3 linked regions of the Kluyveromyces lactis genome follow. The protein of the gene in region 2 binds, or shares a complex with, the protein of the main gene of each other region. Links are inferred from orthologs where the notes say so. Each region holds a gene or a part of one and is shown on either strand. Other genes may lie near its edges. The genes, in order: NUP188, NUP120 and NUP49.

Region 1 (4,278 bases), on a different chromosome or scaffold from region 2:
CTATTGAGTGGGAAACTGCTCCACCTTCTTACAATGATTCTCAAATGCAAGTTGTATCTAATCCGTTTGACGAACAAGATGAAGATAATCTTCAGAGAGAGGAATAATCGTCAAGATCCAATCTAAGCCATTTTCTCTTACCATGTTGTGTAAGCTTTTAATTTATCTTTTTGTAATATTTCCACTAATCACTGATTAAATAATAATTTGTCTATTAAATTTCAAGCTTACCGAATTACAACCAAACACTAAGGAATCGTGGTCCAGTCGAGTCTGGGTATCCCACAGAAAGGATTCATTCCATAGTTGCTGTGTGGGAATTGATGTCTAGAGATATGAGAAGGGCTTCGCAACATTTGAGGTTGATTGGCAACCATTTACATGCTAGAAACTACCACAACGTTTTGGTTGGAAGCAAATACTCATCGTCTTTTAAACAGTACTTGCAGCTGCCAAACGGTGAAATTGGGTCCTATTTCCACGATGTGCCATTAGACTTAGATGTTGATGCCAAAACATGTAACATGATCGTAGAGGTTCCACGTTGGAGTAATGGGAAGTTTGAAATCAGTAAGACCGAACCATTTAACCCCATCACACAGGACATAAAGAAAGGCAAGCCACGATTTGTCAATAACATTTTCCCTTACCATGGATACATTCATAACTATGGGGCTATCCCACAGACATGGGAACAGCCACTTATTGAAGTATTGCCCGGTTTCAAGGGTGATAATGACCCATTGGACTGTTGTGAAATTGGTTCCAGCATCGCCAAAATGGGAGATATCAAAAAAGTAAAGCTTCTAGGGTCATTAGCCCTCATTGACGATGGAGAACTCGATTGGAAAGTCATTTGTATCGACATTGAAGATCCCATTGCTATAAAATTGAACAAGTTGGCAGATGTAGACACTGTTATGCCTGGTCTCTTGGATGCAACTAGAACATGGTTCAGAGATTACAAGATTCCTGCTGGGAAACAACCTAATGTGTTTGCATTCGAAGGTGAGTACCAGGACCAAGCATCTACACTTTCTACGGTACAAGAATGTCACGAAGCCTGGAATGCTCTAGTTAGGGGAGAAATTAAAGCAGATGGATCAGAGGCCGAGATTCCCTCCATTGTCAGAGCGGGAACTCACATAAGAGTTGAACCTAATCAACAAAATGACACACCAATCCCACAAGAAGTGGACAAATGGTACTATGTATGAACTTAAAAGCAGTCAGTGGTCAGTAAGCTTCTTCGGTTAGGTTAACCTGGCACAGCTCATCTCCTCTTATTATGCCTTTATGATATACATGTCCAATATTTTGATGTTACCCTCTCTCATATGTAGTGCAAAATTTTAATGTAAACAAAACTATATTTAATGAAACTATTCGATCTAACAATTAAGACGATGAGACAGTGGTACAGATTCACGTCAACTAAAGGCTATTGCGCTGGCCAGGTGTACCGTGCAGCATGTCATCTTTATCATTTGCTGGAATTTGTGCGTTTCTCCGCTCTGGGGAATACGATAAGGTACATAATGAGCCTACTTTCCAGGCAATCGATAAATTCTTGAAGGACAACGAAGAGATACTGGTTCATCTTTCGAGGTTTACCTCAGTTGAAAACACTGATTCCGTTGGAAAACAGCTGCAATTGAGGGGTTATTCATATAATGTGACGGTAGAGGACGAAAAATTGGCCAATGAGCTTTCAATTGCGTTAAATGTACATCAAAAAGAGTGTTTGAGAGTTATTTCGCAGACCAGGACCAGGTTCCCAGATTGTCCAATGGAAAAAGATACCATCGTTAAACAGATCTTACATGAAAGAAACTGTGTCTTGGATACAACCCTCGTTTTATTAAATCATGATTCTTTCCCAGTTTTAAAGGGCTCCATGTTACAACTTGTCTACAAGAATAGGTCCACAATGATATCAGAAGCAATTCTTCTGGTCAAGAACTGTGTAGCACTTATCGGCTCAGCAGAGCAAAATGATTCTTATAAGAGCTCATTAATGTCGTATGATCTTATTTATATTACAAATCTATTGAATTTGATCGCATTCGTAAGCTTGAATCAACCAGTGGGTCTGGAAATTATCACAAAATGGTACGAGTTGCTCGAAGAAACACAGTATTTCGCCATACTCAAGGATAATAAAGATGTCCCATCAGAGATCTACAACATGGCAAATTCTTTAATGATAATGGATACTATTATAATGACAGGATATAATACAAGCGAAGACACGATAGACGTAAAATCGTCTTTTTTTAATGACGCTGCGACTTTCAGAAGGCTTCTAGATCTCATAATAAACACAGATCCGCCAGCAATTATTGTATACTACTGGTCTTTCATCTTATATTCCAAATCGTATCTGTTAGAAGAAGATCCTGAAAATAATCTGGAATTCGTGCAGCAAGTCTTCAACTCACAACCCATTTCGAAGCTAATCAAAGAGTTTGCCCTTACTGCAGAGAATGAAAATGTTTTCGAAGAGATTTCTAAGGTTTCACAAATATTCAAAGATCAAGCCTTCTTTGCGGCTATACTGACTTCCTTCATCACTTTTTCGTTGTATTTCGTTCCAATCAGTATAAAGACTTCCAAAATGATCAAAACTGTCCTCAGTAACGCACCAACTCATTATGTGGAAAAGTTCTTGACAAACAAAGAATTTGAGAAAAAATTCTTCTTGATAAAAACAAAGGCTCCGCTGTTGAAAGAGTCACTCATTCCAATGATAAACATAACCTCAGCGAATGCTGAATTTGCAAATTTTGAGTGGAAGGAACTTCCCACCTATGTCCAAGAGGTTGTATTGGGAAGTCTAGAGTACGACTTAGCTGATGATGCACACTCAACAGATTTGATATCCATAAAGAGTGAGACCTTTGCTCGAGTACCGTTGGAACCTAGTGGGAATGTTCTCTTACCAATTCCGAAGGACACGAAGGCTAAGATCTTACCTTCAGTAACTAATGATGACGTCGTGATGTTCTTGTATAAATATAACGGTTGGTCATTATTGGGTAGAGTCCTTCAAAATGCATGCGATAGATATCTGTCCACTTCATCTGCTGGTGTTCAAGATTCTGATGTTCAGGAAATGATATTATCAATGCTGGATCTAATTTCTAGTGTTATAGGAAGTGGTATCTCGGTGGAGAAATCGGCCGATATTCTACTACAAATGTCTACCTATCTTACAGAAGATTACATTTTTGATGTTATTTTCAAAGTCTTCGAACAATCTTTGCATTTAAGAGACTATGACGTTATTGATCATTGTCTCAACCTACTCATCAGTTCCATAGATGACTTTTCTCAGTTCGTATGGTCGCATTTAGCAAGATCTGAACTCCTTGATAGGTATGGCAAATCCGGATTGATTTCTAGTGTCTTGGGCACCATGGAATTACCAAATGGAAACTACTCAATAACAATCAAGATTATCAAATTGGCGCAACAATTAGTTCTAGAATCTCTAACACTAGAGACAGAATTCCCAGAAAATCTGAAAAAGGAAATTCTTTCGAAATTCTTTCAGCATTTCATACATGTTTATGAAAGTTATCAATACTGGAACTATCGTTCCATAGCTGAGAAATATGAGCTAGGAACAAACTTAACCATCTTGTTTACGACTGTCGTTTACAATATTTATGGTATCGATCCATCTAATCCGCCAGAAACTAAAATTACTAAAGTCCTATCATCAGCTGCAAACGACATAACGAATCGCTTTTTAAGTTCTGACTCACCAGATGTAAGAACAGTCACTTCCATACTGCATGTTCTATTATCCAGCAACTCATTGGAAGCACTCTCTATCGGAAATGAAGTCTTTTACAATAAGTACAACCAATGTTTGCTGAAGTCTTATGAATTAGCAAACCTTTTAATCTCCGTCCGTGCAATGTTACAATTACCTCCCAGCACTCTGGAATCACAAATATATGGCAACTTGCCGAAGTTAATTGACATTTACGCCTTACACAATGATTTAAGAAATCCAATAATCAAACTCATGACGCACCTTGTGAGAGCCCCTTGGGCCGAAAACTTCCCATCTCTTTTATCGTATCTGGGCCAAAAACACTCCAAGATGATTTTCAATTCGATCTTGTACGACCTCGCAAGTACAATCGATGATTATCAATTTCTGAAGAGTTTATACAGATTCTTTTCTTCCGTTATGGAAGGAAAGCAGGATGGTTTCTCTATTCTTTTAGTTACTGGCGAAACCATATCCGTTGGCTCTTCCCCAAA
Region 2 (4,355 bases):
GGAGATGACGTTTCTGATGCCGAAACTGTAATAAACACAAGGCGATCAAGATCATCGTCCTTGTTCTCAACACAATCCAATGAGATGCTCAAATTCCATACTTATCGTTTCTTACAGTATCATTTATCTTCAATTAGCAAATTGAAGCTTCTCGGAAACAACATGCTATCTTTTGGCTCAGATGGTTTACTAAAGCACTGGCTCATTGAACCTAGTTTGAACTCTAATGAAAAGGCAACCAAGGCGTTTCACTGTGTGCCTAACCTCTTGGGTATTTTTTGGTTGAATAAAACAAGGTTTATGACTGTGGATGAAACTTCCGTCAAGTTGTGGAACGTAAGCCAGAGCGACCCTGTCATATCTTGGGATGGCCTCAAGGATTTAGAAGGCTTACAATCTGTAGATTTCAAAAATAAATGGCTAATTTTGACTTTCGTTAACGAGATACGGGTCTGGGAAATTAAAATCGATGACTCCAGTATCGTTAAGGTTAATGAATTCGTCATTTCAGTCCCCAATAAGATTCTCAATTGTTTGTTGGGATTAACGGAAAAATCGCTTATAATATTAAATGGTAGTTCAAAACAAAACGTAAAGATTTCTATCTTCGACTTTCAAGGCTCCCTTTTACAACAAATCGATCTTTCTCATTCGCTGACCCAATTCCATCACACAAATAATGAATTAGCATTGAACAGGTCGACATCAAAATTGCTTGTGAGATTCGATACAGAAACTCTGATTTACTCTTTCGATCAGAAGAAGACCATTTTAGTGTCTTCTACCGCAGAATCTGCTATTTCCTCGATTTTCCTCAATGATTTGGAGTACACTGTCACCGCTTTGAAGGATGGTTCAATACTCGTGAAGTCAATCAAAGAAGATGGTAAAGTAATTAGAAAATACAATCATTATGAACACCCTGAGAAGGTTCCCGCTGAAGTGCAACCAATTGCCATTGCATCCACAGTCATAGATGATACCCCTGTAATCGTTTCTGGTGGCTATAACGGTGTGATACGACTAGAAAAAATTATGAGCTTATGAACGCAATGCTATAGTAATCAAAGCTGCCGCTATAATTCAAAGAGAAATATAGGAAAATAATCTATAATGCTCATGTAAAACAGTACAAGACGAACGTCATCGTCTATAGACATGGTATCCCCAGAGTACCTATATAATCCTCCTCACAACATGGAAATTATTGCCCAAGCGACCTTAAAATTCAGTTATAAGTTACCCGGATAATATTGTTTTCATGGTTACAACAACAATGAGAAAAGACATGTTGAAATCAATCTGACATGAAGTGGAATCGGTAAACAGAAGAGAACAGCCACCAGAGAACTTCAATTACAGGCTAAATCGGAACATAAACCTACAACATTACTATTGAACAGCTGAGAGGTAAAGCTGAAACTGCGAAAAATGACCAGCTTTTCTCGTCTGAATACAAATTTACTACAATTAAAATCGAAGCACTCATCAGACAATGCCCAACATTTATACGTCAATGGGAATGTTGGATCATCTACAGAAGAAATAACTTCCGTAGAGTACAGCAAACTGTTGCAACTAAAATTAATTGATGAATCGTTGTCCTTCCAATGGTGTAATAATTACACTGTTTTGAGTATTTACTCCATGAAGGAAACTTTTGCAAGGAAAACCATATATATCCACTTTCCAAAACCTCTTCTGAACAAATGGTTTACTGCAGTCGTATACGAATCTAGTGAAACGACCTCCAACCTATGTTTTGATGTGATTTTAAAGGATGGAATTTTCATCAACCTTTCATTGCCTATCGATTTTATTCTATCGAGAACTCGTCAAAATGAGTATCCTGAGAATTGGTTGAAGGTTTTAAACCCGTATGATTTCTCAGTACGTCCTCCACAGTGTCTATTTCATGTTGATAACACCTTCAGTGTAGTATTTCTAAAAGATGGTGGTCTTTTGGGGTTAAAACGTATTCCGCTCGAAATATTAAACGATTTTGAATTGCAACCTGTCCTATTCAATGATAGTTCATACTTTCAAAGTTTTACAAGAATGTTTTCAAAGTACGATAACCACAACTCTGCAGTGGTATCTGCAGAACTTTTGAATGACAAGTATCTTGTCACATTAACGAATGATGCAACCATTAAAATCTGGGATTTAACCACATATCAACTAAATGCGCATTTCGATCTAAAAGAGAAAAACCAGCAGGTGAATTATGGAGCTGCCGGAAAATACATGATAATTTGTGGATCTCTCCTGTTTGTATACCTACCTGCAGGTAATGGATCGTTCCAAGTCATTCAATTAGAAAATACGCATTCTTCAAGAATCTCCTTCAAACCATTAAACGTTAATATACCTCTCAATCTTTCATCTTATTCAATATGGTCTTTAATTGACATTCAATTAGTAAAATCCTCAATTGTCAAACAATCGGGACTCAACTTGGTTTTATTATGGAAAAGTAACACAGTGACCAAGCTACAACTACTCTCCTTCGAAGACTCTCTGTATAGTAGCTACAAATGGATTGATGGTAACAGCACATACCTCTCTGATTTGCTTGATGACTCAGACCTAATAACAAACGGAAATATGGAAAAGGCTCTCCTCAATCTCAAGTCACACTACTCACAATCAACGTACGATGACGCACAAAAGATACTGAATAAAAATAATGTCATGGTGCAGATAAATGATCCTCATAATCAAGATTATTTGAATAATCTAGAAGCTCTTTTGAAAGAACTTCATAAACAATATCAGGAGCCTTCAACTCTAACTATTCTTGATGATGAGATAATTGTTGTTAACAGCTTACACATGTATCATCATTCCACGTATAAGTTAGACTCACAACTTGAAACAATTTTCTTTAACATTTTTGAGAGAAAGGAACCCTCGTCTCAACTAGAGCTTTTCTTAAATATCCTGCATGGTTTTTCAACAACCATTACATCTGAAACGTTAAATAAGATATCTGAGAAGTTCTTAGACATGGTAAATGGTTCAATAAATCCCTCGTTATCATTGAAAAATAAAATTACCATTGTCTTTCAAGATTGTCTAACAAATGGTTTCCAAAGTGCTAATTTATCAAAATTGTTGGAAAATCTAAATTCTATTGATGTGGTGGAGGTTTTATCCGAATTTATACACTGTGATTTGAAAGTAGGTGCTTTTTCAGTTATTGATTTATTAGATACTGACATTTTCTTATCTGTTTTGTCTATGGAATCCTTGAAGCAGACACTCTCCATTATGGATAAGTTTATCATTGATATATTGTTAGTATTCACTATTGTGGATATCAACTATGAAGTTTTTGCAGAGAAGTTGTCTAAGTTAATTACCTTGCACTTCAATATCTCATTGTGGCTCCAAGTGTATCAAATAGATAAATTATTGGCAATTTCTGAGACCTTCGGTCATGTTACTAAATACAATTATGGTGCACAATTGAAATCTTACAGCGATATAACCGACTTTACTACATTAATGGTTGGTTTTGTCAAGAATTCTCCAACAGCTGAACCTCCAATATTTACAAGAGCCTTTTCCGATTTCATATTGAACGGCGAAGATTTGACTTGTGCAAAGCAATTCCTACACTTTGTTGCTAAGCCTTACCATGTGTCCAAGGATCCAGTAGAAGAACTACTATATGCTCTTTCTTTGTTCAAATGCAATGAATATGATGCATCTATTGAAATATTCTTGGCAAATGACTTCTCTGATGAGCTCTCACTACCTAAATATCTGGAGGTTACTGAAAATCACGTTTGGTACAATCTCCTTCATGCGATCAATACAAAAGATAAACCAGCATACTATTATGAACTTTCAGTTCTATGTTCCAAAGCTTCATCGTATGCTAATGCTTTAAAAACCATCAAAAAATCTATATCACTTGATGGTACAAGAGCAGATCAGTTGATACAATACTTAGATACATTGATAGTATTTGGCGATTATAAAGAAGTCCTGGATGTATTGAGGTTGGAACAAAAAGTCCTTGATATAAGCCTAAGAGAAAAATACTATTATACACTGCTGAGTGATCAAAAGTACAGTGAAATGTTCACTGCAACTTTACTCCAAGAATGCTACAATGCAAACATTTCCAACGGATCCATACTATTATGTGTGAGTGATTATAAAATTATAGCTTCAATTTTATCATCACAAGTTTCTCTCACTGATTGGAACAGCTATAAAAAGTTGTTCTCTTTCAGAATACTAAATCAACATGAAAGGAAAGCGTGCGAGGAACTATATGACTATGTACTCTTCGGATCGAACGACGAGGTTAAAGAAAAGTGCCTACTTCTAATATCCAATGT
Region 3 (3,169 bases), on a different chromosome or scaffold from region 2:
AATCATTACCGATGGTAAATAATACAAAGATGAAATCATCTAATACTCTTTCAAAGTCGTATTCAAACTGCACAGAATCTGTTATTTCTTCGAACTCTAATGCCAAATATTCTCTCAAGATAGACAAATGCAACAAGAAGAAGTTCTGTGTTTCTAGAGTTTTCACAGAAGACGAACGTTTACCAAAAGTAACTTCTTCTCTTAATAAACAAAAGTGGTGATCATGGGTGGATAAACCTAGGATGATCAAATCAGCATCTAACCCGTAGATACAATGTCTTGTATTTGGATTGTAATCCTCTTGTGCTCTAATTGCTCTGATGTAATCCATGATCTTATGTTCACCTTCACCAGGAACCTCATGCCCGGAGAAAATAACCTTCACGTTCTGCCATCTGGTATCGTTGGTGATCTTGTCATGGATGAAATATTTCAAATTCTCGGTTAATTTTGCCATAAATTCTGTTCCTGGGGTAATAGCGTTGGAATCAAATGGCTCTCCCTTAGGCAACTCGTCACCATTTTCAATGGCCTTCTGCAAAGCCTTTTCGGCATCCATGGCAGTTCTGAATCTACGAGCTCTTTGTTGGTTCATCTTTGCTCTTGGGGCCACACCATCGATTGCCATATAAAATGTCTGTTTTGGTTTAATAGTATGGAAAAGATGATCAATATAACTGAAAATTTTGGAATAAACTTCTTCCTCTGATAGTCTTGAATTCACCTCGCTACCATCACCATGCGTACAATTATGCAAAATAGAATTCATATCCAAGTACAAATTGTCGAACTCTGGAATCTGTGATCCATCGATCAATTGAGAAATTTGAGGCCATCTCTCAGAGATGAAATGAAAGAATTTTGGAATACCCATTTTTAGTTAAGCCACAAACCGTAATTAATTGAACACTTTCTGAGGTTTGCTTTACTGACTTTTTTCCTCCAACAATAGAAAAGATCAACAACAACTGGGATTGGATAGTACCAGTAGTATACGTTGCCGAACAATGAGTAACCACTTTTAGTGAATTGTTATAATATACCCTGATATGGATGAAAGACCCTGAAAGTACATTAACCAAAGCTACTGTTTAGTAACATAATCGTTAAGGTAATTTGGTAATTCTTTCCAATGTTCAATCGGAATATTTTTCTTGGTGGTGGCAAAATTTTTTGAGACGAGGTTTATGGGTTACCCGGATCCATAAGTTCAAGCTTTTTTTTCTTGTTTTATACTCTTTGATGGAAGAGTTGAAAACATTTTGAATATGGAAACTGAGAAAGTAAACAGATGAGGTTAAAAAGAAAGATGGAGAGAGCAGAATTGAGACACCAATTGATACTGAACAGTAAGTTGAATTAACTGAATTTACGGCGTGTAAATATCTAATACTCTTATTACTGATAGAAACGAAATGTTTGGCCGTTCTTCTTCTACAGGTCCTCCAGTAGGACCAAGCACAGGAGGAGGATTATTTGGGAATACGGGCAACCAGCAAAGCACTAGCGGTGGTCTTTTTGGTAATAACAATGCCACATCAGGTAACACTGGAGGAGGGTTATTTGGAAACAATAACAATACAGCGACACAGACTGGCGGAGGATTATTTGGCAGTAATCCAGCAGGCACCAACAACAATACGAACCAAACCGCAGGAGGACTTTTCGGAAGTTCTAATAATACAGCCACTGGCTCCACAGGTGGCCTATTTGGTAACTCAGGAGCCGGGTCTGGCGGAGGCTTATTCGGGAATAAGTCAGCACAACCACAGACCACTGGTTTTGGAAGCTCTGGAACTGGAGGAGGATTATTTGGATCCAAACCAGCACAACCACAGACTACCGGTTTCGGAGGCTCTGCAACTGGTGGAGGATTGTTTGGATCCAAACCAACTACCGGAGGCCCATTCGGAAATCAACAACAGCAATCCCAACAATCTGGTTTAGGAATGTTTGGACAAACACAAAATCAATTTCAACAGCCACCACAACAACAGATACAACAGACTCAACAGAGTGCCATTAATTTCATTAACCAATTAGCTATCACGCCGATGACCAAGATATCGGAGCTTCCGATTCAAATTCGTCAAGAAATCGAACAATTGGACCAATTCATTAGAACGCAAGTGTCTTTATCCAAACATCTTGAAGCTGATCTACAAGATCAAACTGAACTATTGGATTCAATCCCTCGTGACATCAAGTATCTACAAAAATTGCATTTCAACGCAACAAGATCACTATCATCAGATTTGAAACGAATCGATGCCATCAAGACACTAGTGGATAAAGATGTTAAACAATTGGAAAATTTTGCTATAATGTTGCAACAACTAGTCAGTAAGGGATTCAAAATATCAAACGTTGAGATAGATAAGTTCTTCCAGGAAAAATTAATCACATACAAACACAAATTAAATGACTACAACGACACTCTAAGCAATATTGACGACGCAGTGTCAGGTCTAGAGAATGATCTCTTTGGGAACGATTCATCCGAAGATGATGATACCAAGGTCGGTGTTAACATTATCGTCAGCGTTCTAATCGAAGAGTTCAAACTATTCATGGATACAGCTGAAAGAATAGCAGAACTGCATCAGAAGTGTAAAGAAATAATAGTTAAATAGTCGATATTATTCTTTTAATACTATAAAAAAAGAAAGCGTTCAAGAACATATTACCTATTGATGCAGATCACTAACTCCTGCACATGCACTGCACCTGCACCGCATCTGCCACTTGTCTCTTCGCAGTCTTCTCTTCTCAGGCTCCCTTTATCTTCCCTTCCTTATTTAGGTCAATGAGTTGTGAAAAAAGGGAATTTGATACGACAAATATAAAAGGAATAAGGATTAAAAAATGGTTAACAAGGAGTAACAGTTTTCCCGGAAACGAAAATGTGAAACAAAGAACAAAGGAAAGGCGTCCTGGTTTTGTGATTATACTCAAGAAATATATATAGGACTGATAAGAATTTTAGAACGTTGCTGGCAACTAACTATCATTATTGGAATATCAGAGACATATTAAGTGTGACATTTTAGTATTAATTCTGTCAGTATAAACTTATTGTAGATCAAGCTTCAGGCGTAAAATCAAGGAGCTAGGAGATTTTTTTTTTGATTAAAGCGAAGCGATGGCTGAAGTAAAAGATAGATGTACA

The links.
Region 1: NUP120 (region 2) and NUP188 share a complex: the UniProt entries of both Saccharomyces cerevisiae proteins name them as parts of the nuclear pore complex. The link is inferred for Kluyveromyces lactis from reciprocal best matches to the Saccharomyces cerevisiae genes NUP120 and NUP188.
Region 3: NUP120 (region 2) and NUP49 share a complex: the UniProt entries of both Saccharomyces cerevisiae proteins name them as parts of the nuclear pore complex. The link is inferred for Kluyveromyces lactis from reciprocal best matches to the Saccharomyces cerevisiae genes NUP120 and NUP49.

Annotation. Positions count from the first base shown.
Region 1 is NC_006041.1:972,013-976,290, reverse strand, and holds the start of NUP188 (Nup188p), read left to right. Parts: upstream 1-1,471; coding exon 1,472-4,278. Other genes in the region: RSN1 (Rsn1p), read left to right, coding at 1-107; inorganic diphosphatase PPA2, read left to right, coding at 324-1,217. UniProt on the Saccharomyces cerevisiae protein: Functions as a component of the nuclear pore complex (NPC).
Region 2 is NC_006039.1:1,080,557-1,084,911, forward strand, and holds the start of NUP120 (Nup120p), read left to right. Parts: upstream 1-1,431; coding exon 1,432-4,355. Other genes in the region: FAR8 (Far8p), read left to right, coding at 1-1,047. UniProt on the Saccharomyces cerevisiae protein: Functions as a component of the nuclear pore complex (NPC).
Region 3 is NC_006042.1:2,088,940-2,092,108, reverse strand, and holds NUP49 (FG-nucleoporin NUP49), read left to right. Parts: upstream 1-1,415; coding exon 1,416-2,633; downstream 2,634-3,169. Other genes in the region: chromatin-binding exonuclease XRN1, read right to left, coding at 1-874; KLLA0_F22341g (uncharacterized protein), read left to right, coding at 3,143-3,169. UniProt on the Saccharomyces cerevisiae protein: Functions as a component of the nuclear pore complex (NPC).